Astyanax mexicanus: one gene and its partner. The protein of the gene in region 2 interacts with the protein of the main gene of each other region in a pairwise test. Links are inferred from orthologs where the notes say so. Each region holds a gene or a part of one and is shown on either strand. Other genes may lie near its edges. The genes, in order: evlb and sptan1.

Region 1 (7,798 bases), on a different chromosome or scaffold from region 2:
CAGCACACTTAGCCCTAGAGCAGTGAACTGTAAACAGCCAGAAAATCCACACCACAAAACCCAACAGCCACACCACAGTAAATATGTGTGACCCAGCTCCACTGCTAAAAGCCCCTACACTGTGGTCTGGCTGATGTTCACTCATTATAGTGCAAACAGAAAGAAGAATTGATATTCCTATAAAAGTGACAGGACAAACTATCTGACAACCTCCATCCAAAGCAGACACACTGCTTTTCTTCATGGGTCATTAATAGTGACTTGTTTTTCAGTCAGTAATTTTCCACCCTGCTTCTTATTCTACAGGTCTCTGTGAGGTTGGAGTTGGTGAAACATCTCTTTACTAAAACAATATGTGACAAATCCCTATGGATAGCAAATAAAATCTCTTCTCTGGCCCTGATTCCTGCAGGACAGGGTATGGATTTATAGCCGGTAATACAATCCTTGCTCTGCAGGAACAACCACCAGCTCTACGTCCAAGTCAAACACACACAGCGATTATCTCCCAAACCAGAGAAAACACACTCTGAATGTGAGTCAAACACATTCTGGAGGAGCATGCAGGCGACCGTGCCAAACTCAAAATCCAGTGGTGAGGCTTGAGTTTTTTTTCTTCTTCTACAGTCCAGCAGGAAGGATTGAGCCATCGCAGAAATAAAATCTGATTAGGACCAAAAATACCCGGCCCGGGTCTTTAAATCGGCTCTAATCGTGCGATTGGGAGAAAAAATGGATGGGTCCTGCCGAGAGGCAAGAGATTAGAGGGCGAGATGAAATCTGAAACGATGGATGAGTGGAGAAATGGACAGATAAAGTCAGGTTGGCGATGAAAGCACAGGGTTACTGAGAACGCTAGGCCCTGATCCCAGTCGAAAAACAAACTGTTTAACTCAGAACTGAAGAGAGCAGGTTCTGGAAATGTAGTAAAACTCACCATATTTTATTACTGTGATTAGTAACAGTGTTGTGACAAAAAAAAAATCTAAAAATTGGGGAAAAGAAGGAAAAATCCCAAATTCCAAATAAGAATATTGTCATTTAGAGAATTTATTTGCAGAAAATGAGAAATGGCGGATAAAAAAGATGCAGAGCTTTCAGACCTCAAATAATTCATATTCATAAAAGTTTTAAAAGTTCAGAAATCAATATTGGTGGAATAACCCTGTTTTTTAATGACAGTTTTTAATGCATCTCCTCCACCAGTCTTACACGCTGCTTTTAGATAACTTTATGCCACTCCTGGTGCAAAAATTCAAGCAGTTCAGCTTGGTAGGATGGCTTGTGATAATCCATCTTCCTCTTGATTATATTCCAGATGTTTTTAATTTGGTTAAATCAAAGAAACTCATAATTTCTAAGTGGTCTCTTATTTTTTTCCAGAGCTGTATGTTTGCCAAAAGTCATGAGACAGGACTTAGTATTGTGTCCCATTATTTTTTGCCATTGCCATGTCTAGTGGAAGTGAGTGAGTGGGCCATCTGCACTGAATAGGGATGTGATTATTTCCAGTTGGTTAACTGTTTACACAGACAATTCTAATCAAATGCTGCAGATTGGCCACAGTTATTACCATCTACTGCACTGTGCACTGTGGATGGTAATGCCATCTATGATGTATTTCCAGTCTGCATGTGACCCTGTGGATTTAGGAATATTAAATGCCAGTGCAAAGAAATGGAATGTCCCAACCAGCTAACAAAACTCAAACAGTCCATGTGTTCAACCTCAATCTCAAAATAAGAATTTTAAATTTATACAAATGTGTCTTTTCCCAAGTTACCCCCTCAGGTAACAGGTAACGATCAATTTACATACTGCTATCCCATGTACAAACAGCCCCAGCGGTGCTCCCTACAGGTTTGTTGTACACTGTGTCATGTGCATCAGTTCTTTTGAACGGTACCTGAGCAACCAATAAAAGTGATGCTCCCCTGCATCTCAAAGATGCTCTTTCTTTAGAAACCTGTGTTAGAAAGTGCTGATTCAAGCTCAGAAGGTCAGCAGCACCATCCTACACTATTGAATGTAGACTGAGAATGCAGACCTTTGAAGTTATACAGCTAGAACTCAAGAGTATTCTGCTCTAACTGTACTGCTGATGCAGCTTCACGAGGCCTCGGAGGAATCACCTTCACCAACAGCCTGCAGAAGGCGAGAAAGACAGAGCGAGACACAGGGAAAACAAAAGAGCCACAGTCTTACACTTCAATTGCATTAAGAGCATCTGTGTCGGCGCTAGCCGCAGCCTGGCAAGCTCCAGCAGAGACTGTAAATCAAGCATCCTCCAAACCTCCTCATTCTCATAAAAGCCGCTCAATTAGAATTCCGCTCCACACCTCCGAGCAGCCACAGAGGACAGCGGGCAGCTGCCACTGAAACCTACCTGATCTTATACTCGGTGACCTGAGCGCCAGCATCACAGTAGATCTGGGGGAAGTAGAAGCGGTGTGACTGGAGGTTAATATCCATCGCTTCAGGTCATAGCAGAGAGGAACAGGTTGCTCTTTCCTCTTTCTCCTCTACCTTCTGACCGGCCGTCTCGTTCACTCGCTCGTTTGCTCGGTGGGTGTCAGGATCCCCTCCCCCTCTTCCGTTCTCACTACCCTTGTAGTAGATCTTAACGTTAATGGTTCAGTAACTGAAACAGCAGAAGCATCTCAGCCACCTTGTCCAAAGCAGAAAGGAGTTGCAGAAAGGCCAACGTCCATCACACACAGCACTCTTTCACACACTCCTAGCTTCTTTCTAAAACCCCAATCCTTGAAGAGCTCGGCAGAGTCAATAGTCAAAAAGAGGAAAAAATGAAAATCAAATTAACTGTGATAAGCTTTAAAAAGAAAAAGAGCTGTAATCTCATCCTCAGTCAATCAGAGCAGACGAAGAGCGCCGCACTGGAGGAGCACATTAATGAGTGAGTAGTGGAAAGAGAGAGAGAATGAGAGAGAGAAAGAGAGAGAGAGAGAGAGAGAGATAGAGTGCTCTTCTCGGTTGAATGAAATTATGATGCTCGCTATGAGGCATCACCCTCGCACTGACTCTCTCTCTTTCTCGTTTCATCTAGTGGATTACCAGCTCCCTCCCCCAACCCTACATCTCTCCATCCCTCCCTTCCTCTATCCTTCTCTCCTCCTCCTCCTCCCCTTCCAGCTGTGACATGAGAGATGGTCGGCTAGCCCCATAGGCCAGGAGCCCCCCTCCCCCTCAATGCCAATGCTGCTGGCTCCTCCTCTTTCCCTCTCTCTCTCTCTCTTCTTCTCTCCCTCCATCTATTCATTCCTCAGTTCTCCCTCTCCCTTCCTCACTCCATTCCTCCTCGCTCTCTGTGTTAGGGAGTAGTCAGCTCTAATGTTAAACCAGTGTGGACAGTGGGGAGGGGTGTGGTTGTGACTGTTAATTAATAAAGGGCATTTGTGGCTTTTTGATCAAGATCAAGATCAAGTGAAGAATTAAAGCGACAGGAGGATCTTCCATCACCCTCCCAGTGATGGGGATACTATAACGTTCCATACAATCTGTCTTTCATTCTGACTGGGCCATTTAAACCCCAGTTGTCACTTAACATGTTTGAACATTTTGATCTCACATGAATTCCTATTATTATGAATTCCGATTATATTTCGAACATGTAGTGTAGTACATGTACACATACACTATATGTCAGTTTCCCAGCCAGGGATTAAGACTAGTGTTAGGCTTTCCGTTGCTGTGTAGCCCAAGACTAGGCTAAAATTATATCTGGGAATCTGCTTCTATATGTACAAATGTTTGTGGACACACCTTCTAATGAATGCATTCAGCTGATTTAAGGGTGTTTTCACACCAGAATTTTTTATTCTGCTTGGATTGAAGTAAGTAAATGATGTGGGGTTGATGCTGCAGTTGGTCAGGTCTGGGTTTTAGCAACAATATGTGCTGAAAGAATGAGGTCAGCTGACTACCTGAATATACTGAATATAGACCAGGTTATTCCATCAATGGATTTTTTCTTCCCTGATGACACGGGCATATTCCAAGAGGACAATGTCAGGATTCATGGGTCTGGAATTGTGAAAAAAAATGATTCAGGGAGCATGAGATCATCATTTTCACACACGAATTGTTCACCACAGACTCCAAACTTTAACCCCATTGAAAATCTTTGGGATGTGCTGGTGAAGGCTTTGTGCAGCGGTCAGACTCTACCATACATCTTGTTACATTGCAGAAGCTTATCGAAACAATGCCACAGTGAATGCGTCCCTCTATCAGACCTAAAGACGCTCCAATGAAATATTAGAGTTTGTGACCTTTTTTTTCAGCCAGGCAGTGTAGAATAGAATAGAATAGAATAGAATAGAATAGGACTCTCTGAAGAAGAGAGTCCTGAGGAACATGAACCTTTAGGCAACATGCCTGCTGCCAGGCGTCGGCTAGAGGGATATAATTCATAGCATTGAGCTATGAAGAAGTTGAACTGTGCTGTCTGGAATGGCAATCAGGTTCTTACAGTAATGATTTACAATCTAGCAAAAAGTATTCTCTGGACAATACTGACAGTTACTCCAACAAAAGCAGGATAAACTTGTTTTTTAATAACCTTGATTTCAGAAGAAACTATTAATGCCAAAGTGTCCATGCAGTAAATAATGACAGAAAGTCCAGTACGGTCTGTCACACTTACTGACCTCAGAAACAATTTACAGAGCTGCTGCTGATACAGTCTAGTCTGCACAGCTTTATGTTGTTTAATATGGTCATTACCTATGATGCATTTGTGAAGTGTAAGAGCATAGGTAGTGCTTTCCTGTGATTGCAGTGTACAGCACAGAGTAGAGGCCATGTCCTGTCTTCTGCTTATTCAGAAGGTTCTGTTTGTATTATTTTCTGATGTGTTGCACTAGATTGTGTAATCCTATCACAAAGCTTTATGTAATTTTATACAATCATACCAAATCGTTTTTTCTCTGATTCAGTCCCAAAAGGTATCTGCAAGACTTAAGCAAAAACAAATGTTGTGACTGATCTGCAGTCTTTTCTGTAGTCTTTTTAAGTATTACATCATCAGTTATTTATCAGTTTACATCCTAGAATCAAATTTAGGAATCTAAAAATAAAAATCATATATTACAAAAATGTTACAGAAAATACTGTGAGGTGAGTATAAGCTGATATTAAAATGTTATATCATGATTATCTAACGTTTTATCAAATTTTAAAAGATGACCTTCATATTTTAAGCAGTACTCTGTATGAGGTATACTACATGTGCTATAGCAGTGGGCAATATGGCTCTAGAAATGTCACAGTATTTCAGGATATTTTTGATTTATTCTTGTCAACATGAAAGAAAACATTGAAAATATTTTGTTAATATCCAGAAAATACTACTGCAATAAAAAAATAACAATAGAAACATAATATCTCTAAGTCTATGTGTACTTCGTAAAAAGCAGTAAGGTATTTCATCCATAATGTGCGGATAAAATGAAAAATGTCTTTCTCAATAAGAGCAGCAGCTGCCAGTGAACCTCCTATTAAATCCATAACAATCAATAGGCCTCTAGCAGACCTGTAGCCTATATGTAGTTCATTAACTCAGAAAGCCTACACACTGATTAAATTACATAAATTAAATTAGATCCAGGAACAAAGGCATACATTCTGATCTCCAGTCCATTTAATCGCGTCTCTCTGATGTTATTACCAGGTCAACACATGCATTTAGTAATGATACTTATTGCTGGAAAAGGAATCTAATATGCTCACACGTATCATACTTTAACAGTAATTAATGTACGCTTACATTCTAAAACAGCTATATTCTAGACCCAAGTTATCATAGAAGTAACACAAGTTACAGATTATGACTTAACTTGGCTTATGATCTAAAACATACTGATTCTTCTATACATTTTTATGGTTGCACATTGCAAAGCACTGCAAAAATATATAGTTATTCATCTGTTTTCCATTTTGATAATTTTTATCTGAGATGTTTGTGGCATAACTTGGCCGGTTTTGAGATTTCAACTCCAGATTTTCATTCTAATTGTGTGATGCATACAGGGTGAAAAAGTTACAGTGATACAAATGCACTTTTATTACCTAAAAATCAATACAGAAACTCACAGCACATTACCTGTGAGAACAACTTGGGAAACCATAGCAACCGCCTTGTAACCACCTAGCAACCACAAAGTCAACATCCTAGCAGCTGAAATCCTACAGCAATAATCATACCTAACTAAAGAACCCATCTTGTGTTAGAAATACTATAGCAACCACCTGATACACCAGGTATCACCTACCACTTAAAAACACCACTGCAACCACCTGCGATACTGAAGCATTCAGGTGGCTACACCATAACAACCTCTTAGTAATACCAGTGCCACCACCTTGGACGCCATAGCATTTAGTTATCCACACCATAGCAACCTCTTAGAAACACCACAGCAACCACCTGGTATACCATAGCCTTAATTTAGCTACACCATAGCAGCATCTTAAGAACACGACAGCAACCACCTGGTATACCATAGCCTTAATTTAGCTACATCATAGCAACCTCTTAGAAACACCACCAAAGATACTATAGCATTTAATTAGCTACACCAAAGCAACATCTTAGAAACACCACAGCAACCATCTGGAATACCACATTAATCGCCTTCCAACCAGCTAGCAACACCATGAAAACCACCAGGAATACCATAGTTACCATTAAGCAACAGTTAACTGCAAGGAAAAGGAATGCACTTGAGCTATTAAGTATATTTTTATATTAGCAAAGTCATGTAAACGATATTATAGCTTTAATGGGACAAACTAGCATTTTTCACAAAATAAAAATTAATTGATTTTTATAAGAAATCAAATGAAGAGCTGAAAGATTTGTTAGAATTAAAATAATACATTTACTGACTGGCAACTGCTTGTTACAAGCAAAAACTGCTTGTTGAAAGCGAAGTGACATCAGCATTAAAAGAAAAGACTAGCTTCAGACATGCTAAAGACCTGTTACTGAATCTAAAAAATGAATGAATCACTACTTGTGTACCTTTTCAGCAATAACAGACTATTAGAAATAGCGATTAATGCTTCCAATTTCTTTACTGTATTATTATTTAATGTATCATTATTTATACGTGTGATTTTCTGTTTGTTAAGAGTGGACAGGAAGAGAACATACAAATCCCTGAGAACCAGGAAGTGGAGTGTTCAGCTAGGTTCCGAAAACCCTAATCATAACACTAATCATACATTATATACAGTCAGCCATCAACACAAACAGGTAGGTAGATGTATAGATATGGAAATATTGTAGAGGCTGTTTAGACAAAGGTACATGCAGCCCCTCCCCCCAGCACCATCCCCACCACTCTCTCTCTCTCTCTCTCTCCAGCAGGTTCCTGCCTGACTGCAGATTGCATTCTAATCCTTAAAGGGGAACACCTCCATTTGAGCTCAGCCAAGAGTGTCTACTGTAACTGTACAGCCATTAGCGCAATACAGAGGAGCTCAGCCTTCTGTTAGACTCGCACCCGATCACACTGGATACAGAGCAGCACTACTGAGAGTGAAATTAAAGGGGGGAGAAACACAGATGAACAGATTGAGGCAGAGATGAGTAATTAAATAAGCATATGAATGAAGCAGAAGCAGAGCCATCAAACCTAATTCAGTTTTACTGGAGGAGGGAGAGTGTGAAAAGACGAATGACGCAAAGGAGAGAAAAATGAGAAAGAACAGCCTAAAGACACAAGAATGCATAGAAAAATGGATAAAAAAGGAAGGAAGATGAACCAGCAAGAGA
Region 2 (7,989 bases):
TGCTGGGAGCTAACACATTTTGGTCATTACAATGTTTTCTAAATGTTACAGGTAACATTCTTAGGGTGTTCAATGTGTCCAGTTTTTTGGATGTTTTTAGAATGTTTTTAATAATCGTTTTTATATTCATAGATTTTATCTATCTAGGAACGTCAAGTGAGAAACATAATAATAATTCTAATAACGTCCTGATGCAAATCAGTATTACATCACATTTTTTTAGAACATTCCTGGGACATTAATTCTGTGACATTACAGGTTAACCTTTTAGGCACCTTTTTATAGCGTTCTCTGTTTGCTGTGTTCATTATTGAGAATAAACTAAATCATTTAAAAATATTTTTTACTCCATGTGGTGTGTTTCATTACATTTATTACATATACTACCAGATTCAATTTGCACATGGTTGGAGGCTAAATGATTATATAGAAAATAATGAGTTTTCTTTCTTTTTAGGTTTTTCATTTCTCATTTTCAAATTAAATTTTCAGGAAAAAATACTAAATTAATCTTCTCTCTGTCCTTTAAGTGTTAATGTTTGCATCTTGTAAGAAAAGTATGAAGGAGAACATAAGTATAAATACGTAAATGCACATATAAATGAATGAATAAGTAAATAAATACATGCATAAATGATTTTATAGATTAATAAAATTAATAAATTAGTAAATACATTTTGTCATTACAAAGGACACATTAAAAATTAAATCAGGAATCTATTTCCATATTTCCAGAAATTAACCTTTATTTGGGGATGTTTGTTTATTTTTTTATTTATTCATTCATACATATAATTATTTATTTTTATATTTATTCATTAACAGGTCCTTCACAAAAAATAGCATATTGTAATAAAGTTAATTCTTTTTCATAATGAAATTAAAAAAATAAACTTTCATATATTTGAGATTCATTGCACACCAACTGAAATATTTCAGGTCTTTTATTGTTTTAATACTGATGATTTTGGCATACAGCTCATGAAAACCCCAAATTCCTATCTCACAAAATTAGCATATCATGTAAAGGTTCTCTAAACGAGCTATTAAGCTAATCATCTGAATCAACGAATTAACTCTAAACACCTGCAAAAGATTCCTGAGGCTTTTAACAACTCCCAGCCTGGTTCATTACTCAAAACCGCAATCATGGGTAAGACTGCCGACCTGACTGCTGTCCAGAAGGCCATCACTGACACAGAAAGAAATTTCGGAGCGAATAGGTTGTTCCCAGAGCGCTGTATCAAGGCACCTCAGTGGGAAGTCTGTGGGAAGGAAAAGTGTGGCAGAAAACGCTGCACAACGAGAAGAGGTGACCGGACCCTGAGGAAGATTGTGCTTCTGCGGAAGCAGTGGACTGAGTCTGGAGTAGAAACATCCAGAGCCACCGTGCACAGGAAATGGGCTACAGGTACCGCATTCCCCAGGTCAAGCCACTTTTAAACCAGAAACAGCGGCAGAAGAGTCTGACCTGGCCTACAGAGAAGCAGCACTGGACTGTTGCTCAGTGGTCCAAAGTACTTTTTTCGGATGGAAGCAAATTTTGCATGTCATTTGGAAATCACGGTGCCAGAGTCTGGAGGAAGACTGGGGAGAAGGAAATGCCAAAATGCCTGAAGTCAGTACCCACAGTCAGTGATGGTCTGGGGTGCCATGTCAGCTGCTGGTGTTGGTCCACTGTGTTTTATCAAGGACAGGGTAAATGCAGCTAGCTATCAGAAGATTGTGGAGCACTTCATGCTTCCATCTGCTGAAAAGCTATATGGAGATGAAGATTTCATTTTTCAGCACGACCTGGCACCTGCTAGGGCTGAACGATTTTGGAAAATAATCTAATTGCAATTTTTTATCTATAAATTGCGATTGCGATTTAAAATGCGATTTTTTTTGTCTTCTCAAGTATTTTTCAACAACAGAAGCAATAAATCAATCTGTTTAATAATAAACAATGTCAGATTTATTTAAAGCACAGATAACAATAAAGCAAAAAAATCTATGCTTTTCCTTTTCACCATTTGTTTTTTTTTATAGAAAAATAAATACATAAATAGCTTTTCCTTTTCACCATTTTTTTTAATTAGGAAAAACAGTAGATTGTTAACTTACTTTAACTTACTGCTCTCCAGCTAGTAACATCATGAAAAATTTAAGTGCAAAAAACATAAAGAGAATCTGCTTTAACCAACTCGTTATTTTCTGTATTTGAAGATGCAGCACTGGTCGTTGGCATTTTAGCCTTGCAAATACCACACGAGGCTTTGTGGTGTTTTTAAATGCTGAAAAAGGTTTGTAGTGTTACCTCGCGTCGTAGCAACAGTAGCAAGGCACGTTTAGCACAGTACCTGACGTTGAGCAGCATCTTCTTTTTTAAAGCCAAAGTAATTCTACACAACTGTTGTGTTCTGTCGAGCCTGAAGCCATTGTGCAACAAGGGCGTTTTCACACCTGTAGTTCGTTTCTAATGAGTTTGTTTACTTGGAGCGTTTTCTCGCTCTGTTCGGTCTGGTTTCCCACAGGCATAAATTAGGGGTTCACCTAATACCCCGGGGGTTCAGCCACTGCCCCTCGGTTATCAGTCACTGCCCCCGCCGCGGGGTTCAGCTAATGCCCGGCGGCCATCAGCCACTGCCCCCGCTGCGGGGTTCTTCTAATACCCCGGGGGTTCAGCCACTGCCCCGCGGTTATCAGCCACTGCCCCTGCCGCGGGGTTCACCTAATACCCCGGGGGTTCAGCCACTGCCCCGCGGTTATCAGCCACTGCCCCCGCCGCGGGGTTCAGCCACTGCCCCCGCCGCGGGGTTCAGCTAATGCCCGGCGGGCATCAGCCACTGCCCGGCGGTTATCAGCCACTGCCCCCGCCGCGGGGTTCAGCTAATGCCCGGCGGGCATCAGCCACTGCCCCGCGGTTATCAGCCACTGCCCCCGCCGCGGGGTTCAGCTAATGCCCAGCGGCCATCAGCCACTGTCCACTGTTCAGGTAATACAGTACAGGAGTGGCTGAACCCCGCGGGGCAGTGGCTTAACTCCGTGGGGCATTAGCTGAACCCCGCAGCGGGGGCATTAGCTGATGGCCGCGGGGCAGTGGCTGAACTCCGTGGGGTATTAGCTGAACCCCGCAGCGGGGGCATTAGCTGATGGCCGCGTGGCATTAGCTGAACCCCGCGGCGGGGGCAGTGGCTGATGGCCGCGTGGCATTAGCTGAACCCCGCGGCGGGGGCAGTGGCTGATGGCTGCGTGGCATTAGCTGAACCCCGCGGCGGGGGCAGTGGCTGATAACCGGGGGGCAGTGGCTGAACCCCGCGGCGGGGGCAGTGGCTGATGGCCGCGTGGCATTAGCTGAACATCAGGGTAGCAACAGGACAGGGATAGTTTAAGTATTTACTGTTGCTGCTAAAATACGTGCCACAAAACATAGTTTAGTGTCCATAACTCCACTCTCTCATCGTAACGCAGCTTGACTGACAAGGAGGGTCCGCATCAAGCACTTCCTGTGTGTTAGACCCTCCCTTTCCGTCAGAAATCGCAGTTTGTAAAAGTGTTTCAGCGTTTGTAAAAGTGTTTTAGCATTTGTAAAAGTGTTTCAGCGTTTGTAAAAGTGTTTTAGCGTTTGTAAAAGTGTTTCAGCGTTTGTAAAAGTGTTTCAGCGTTTGTAAAAGTGTTTTAGCGTTTGTAAAAGTGTTTCAGCGTTTGTAAAAGTGTTTCAGCGTTTGTAAAAGTGTTTTAGCGTTTGTAAAAGTGTTTCAGCGTTTGTAAAAGTGTTTTAGTGCTGGTAAAAGTGTTTCAGCATTTGTAAAAGTGTTTCAGTGCTGGGAAAAGTGTTTTGCGTCTTGTAAATTTGTTTTAAGTTTTGTAAATGTGTTTTAGTTTTTGTAATTTTGTTTTCTGACATGTTAATTTGTTTTGCACTTCAGGGCCACCGTAGGAGTGCGATTACTGTTTTTACACCTGCTCAATCGAACCGCACTAAAGTTCCAGAGTTCGTTTTAACCGGACCAAATAGTGCTGGTGTGAAAACGCCCTAAAGTGCGCTGTGTTGACTTCACTTCTCCACCTCCCTGCCTTCTGCTCGGGTATGCTCCGCTCGTCCTCGGGTATGCTCCGCTCGTCCTCGGCTTGGCTCGCTCTCAAGTCACGTGACCAGTCAAATCGCAGCCAGTGCGGTTAGAGAATCGCGTTTTAAAATATCGCGAGATGCAAATGCAATTAATCGTTCAGCCCTAGCACCTGCTCACAATGCCAAAACCACTGGTAAATGGTTTACTGATCATGGTATTACTCTGCTCAATTGGCCTGCCAACTCTCCTGACCTGAACCCCATAGAAAATCTGTGGGATATTGTGAAGAGAAAGTTGAGAGACGCAAGACCCAACACTCTGGATGAGCTTAAGGCCCCTATTGAAGCATCCTGGGCCTCTATAACACCTCAGCAGTGCCACAGGCTGATTGCCTCCATGCCACGCCGCATTGAAGCAGTCATTTCTGCAAAAGGATTCCTGACCAAGTATTGAGTTCATAACTGAACATAATTATTTGAAGGTTGACTTTTTTTGTATTAAAAACACTTTTCTTTTATTGGTCGGATGAAATGTGCTATTTTTTGGGATTTTTGTTTTTTCTTTACTTTTTTGCCAAAAGCATCTATATTAAAACAATAAAAGGCTTCAACTACTTCAGTTGTGTGTAATGAATCTAAAATATATGAAAGTCATTACAGAAAATAATGAACTTTATCACAATATGCTAATTTTTTGAGAAGGACCCGTATATGTGCATTTTTTTTGTCATTTTTCGTCATTCACCCTGAGTGCACCGTAATCTGCTCTCTGGCAGCGGAGACTCGGCATTTATCGGCAGCGCTCGGAACCGCTCGGCGAGTTGCTGCGGCGCCAGACGTCATCGCCTCTGAAGGCCTCGCTGGTTTCAGTCATAGAGCGAGATCGCGATTACAGTACGAGCGTAGGCTGCACCCTGCCCTGACCCGGTCCAGCAGATCCTTACACCTTTAACTCAGCGAGGTAAGAAGCTCTGCCGCCGCCCGAGGGGACCTGTATAGATATAGAGCGGTTTAACACAGCAGCAGCTGTGTGTGTTTAAGCGTTTCTGCAGAGCTAAATCATAATTACGGTTGGTACAGTTTACGGCATTAGCAACGCCGAGGGGCCCGGTCACCGCTCACCATTCACCAGCTTACACTCACCTTCAGTTCGGAGTCTGCAGCTTATTGTACTTTTTTGCATAGTTAATAACGTTATTTATTAGCGCTATTTAATTAGCTAACCGAATATAGCAGTTAAGCATTGTTATTTCGAGGCGAGCGTTAGCAAGGTTAGCTAGTTAATGCTCCGTATGTTTTTGCAGTTTTGCCCAGAACACATAATACTAACCTAATTTAGGTTGTAGGTAGCTATAGCTGAACGTTACGCCATTTTAGCTAACCGTTTAGCCCGTTCAATATTAGCTAGTGAAGTATTTCATAAACTATTGACAATAACAGTATTTTCATGAACGAAATCAACGTATTTTACCGTCTTTCACCGTCTGCAAAGCAGACTAGCTGTGCTATAGCTGTGTAGAGGTGGGTAACCCAGGTCCAGAAAATAAAAATCCATCCCAGGGTTTTGCCTGGGCGGCTCTTTGTTTAGCTAAGCTGCAGCAGAGCCGCCCAGGCAGTTGCTACAAAACCCTGGGATGGAGTTTTACTCGTTAGCGCTGTAGCCACCCGGGTGGCGGTTTAGCTGCAACAGCTGTAGGTTAACTAGGTTAGCTCGGTTGTCGATCTCCTAATCATCGTAAAATACACTACTGTCCAGCAAAATTCATACAGAGGAAGAATGAACGAGCTGTAAAACGTAGCTCTCTAGTCCTTCACTGTGTCTGCAGGTCTATATAAACGTTCAAATCGATCTTTTTCGTCTGCAGTGACAAACAGCTATGTTCGAGGAGCCGCCCAGCTCTCCTCTCTCAATGAATTTAGATAAGCGACCTGAAAACAACCACATTCATCGAGGCTTTCCATTAAATTACAGTGTGTATAAAATATTAATACAACTCTAGGCTGGATATTTCAAATATCACATCGAGAGTAACGTCTGAATATCATTAAATGGGCATTAATTAATCTCAAAAAGAATTTCACAAAATGCATTAGCACAGTGTACAGACATGGCGAAGATAGCTAGTAAAAAAAATAAATATGATTAATAATAATATACGGTGTAAACACAAGTAAAATACATGTATAACTATAAAACACCTGTTTTTATAGTTTATATTTATACAATGTGTAGTATAGTGTAACTATACAGTCCAGTGTAAGCAGTACAGCAGGTAAAGTCTCTGTACATTGTAAACATTCAGTGAGCTAGATTTATGTTAACATGTATAATTCTCTGCAATCACACTCGCAGTTTCTGTAGGAACTGCAATCTAGTTGTATATGAGTTCTGTAGTCAGTGTCTAAAGGGTGGATATTAATGAATGGATGCATTGCCAGTATTTGCCTTTAACAAACAAACAATTCCTGTAAAAACAAATAGAACTGGATGTTTGCACCCATTAAGTATTGTGGAATTATTATAAAGGACCTAAAGAGTCACTCTGGTTTTAAAAATGCATTAGTAGGTGTAGATCAGGTTAAATGTTTGCCTTCTTATGCCTACCCTGACTGGGTGTCAGCAGCTGCGTTCCCTACCAGAATTCCTCTAATTCCATTCAGACTTAGTGCCTTTATAATGATGGGGAACTGTTCAGCTACTAAGTGAACCATTTTTTGGTGTTGTTTTTTGTTGTTGTTTTTTGGGGAGGGTAAGACTGAAATTAAATCCTCAGATATACATGATCTCAGCTCTGCTGTGTCATTCACTATCACCATGACATGCCCACAGAGCAGTTGATCGGCTGCAGAGCTGCTTCAAATGAATGAAAGAAATAGTGGAATGTTTTTGTGCTTGGCCCTAATTAGCATGCATGGCTTGTGATCTGTACATAAAAAAAACACACTAAAACCCACAAGTGGTTTGTTTCTCCTCAGAGGACATGAATGAGGTGACATTTACAGTCAGTGTGTGAGCTTTAGTTTCTTCAGACGCTCTGAATTGCAGTTGCTATTCACATTTTGGGCCTATTTTGGTAAGAGAGCCTTGGATATTATATTCTGTTACACCTATGCAGTCTGTTGTTCATGTGTTATTTAGGTATTTAGCAATGATATCAGCCACCTACCCAGACCAGTGTCTGATAGAGGAAGGACGTCCAGTAAGGAATGCTCTCCTCCCTTTTCCTTTTCCTCTGGAGCTGATGTAATGCACACCGACTTTAAACCTCTCCTCCAATGGGTGTGGTCCCAAAAGCTAAAGCACTGGAACTTGGGGTCCTTCTCAGGGGCCCTTGGGATCAAGCTGCTTCCTCTTGCACAGCTGTGCATTGTAGCTGACTCAAGTCTACACCCATAATATCCATGCAAAAAAAACTCTTTCTGCCTTTCTGCTCAGGTGAAATGGTTGTAAACAAAAAAGTTTTAGTATCCATGACAGATTTTTTTAGTACACATTTTAACAATTAATGGGAACGGTTCTTTGAGCAGTGCCACAAAAAAAACATTTTGTTACAGATTTTGTTTTTAAATTGAAGTTTGTGTGTGTGCAAATTATTTTAATGTAAACCTGTTTATTGAACTAAAGTGGTTCTTTTATGACATTGCTCAAAAACACTTTGTAGCACCTAAGCCTTTCATCATGATTTATTTTTAAGGTGATGTACTCTCCCACAAATTATTGCAATAAACAGTAGTATTGTCATACTAACACCATCATGTTATGACACTGATATAGTGAAAATATAATGATAAAAAAAATAATAATCCAGTTACATTCAAGAAGTTTAATTATTATGAATATGCAGACATTGTAATCGCCAGACTTTCTGGACTTGGGATATTGGGCGGTGTAGGAAATGAATAGATTGTATTAAAGTGCCATCATGTAGGTCCAC

What was found.
Region 1: the proteins of sptan1 (region 2) and evlb interact in binary tests that used the Homo sapiens proteins (3 or more experiments, as listed by UniProt). The link is inferred for Astyanax mexicanus from reciprocal best matches to the Homo sapiens genes SPTAN1 and EVL.

What each region holds. Positions count from the first base shown.
Region 1 is NC_064408.1:73,272,948-73,280,745, reverse strand, and holds the start of evlb (enah/Vasp-like b), read right to left. Parts: upstream 3,030-7,798; 5' UTR 2,473-3,029; coding exon 2,387-2,472; intron 1-2,386. UniProt on the Homo sapiens protein: Ena/VASP proteins are actin-associated proteins involved in a range of processes dependent on cytoskeleton remodeling and cell polarity such as axon guidance and lamellipodial and filopodial dynamics in migrating cells.
Region 2 is NC_064424.1:38,748,222-38,756,210, forward strand, and holds the start of sptan1 (spectrin alpha chain, non-erythrocytic 1), read left to right. Parts: upstream 1-4,868; 5' UTR 4,869-5,015; intron 5,016-7,989. UniProt on the Homo sapiens protein: Fodrin, which seems to be involved in secretion, interacts with calmodulin in a calcium-dependent manner and is thus candidate for the calcium-dependent movement of the cytoskeleton at the membrane.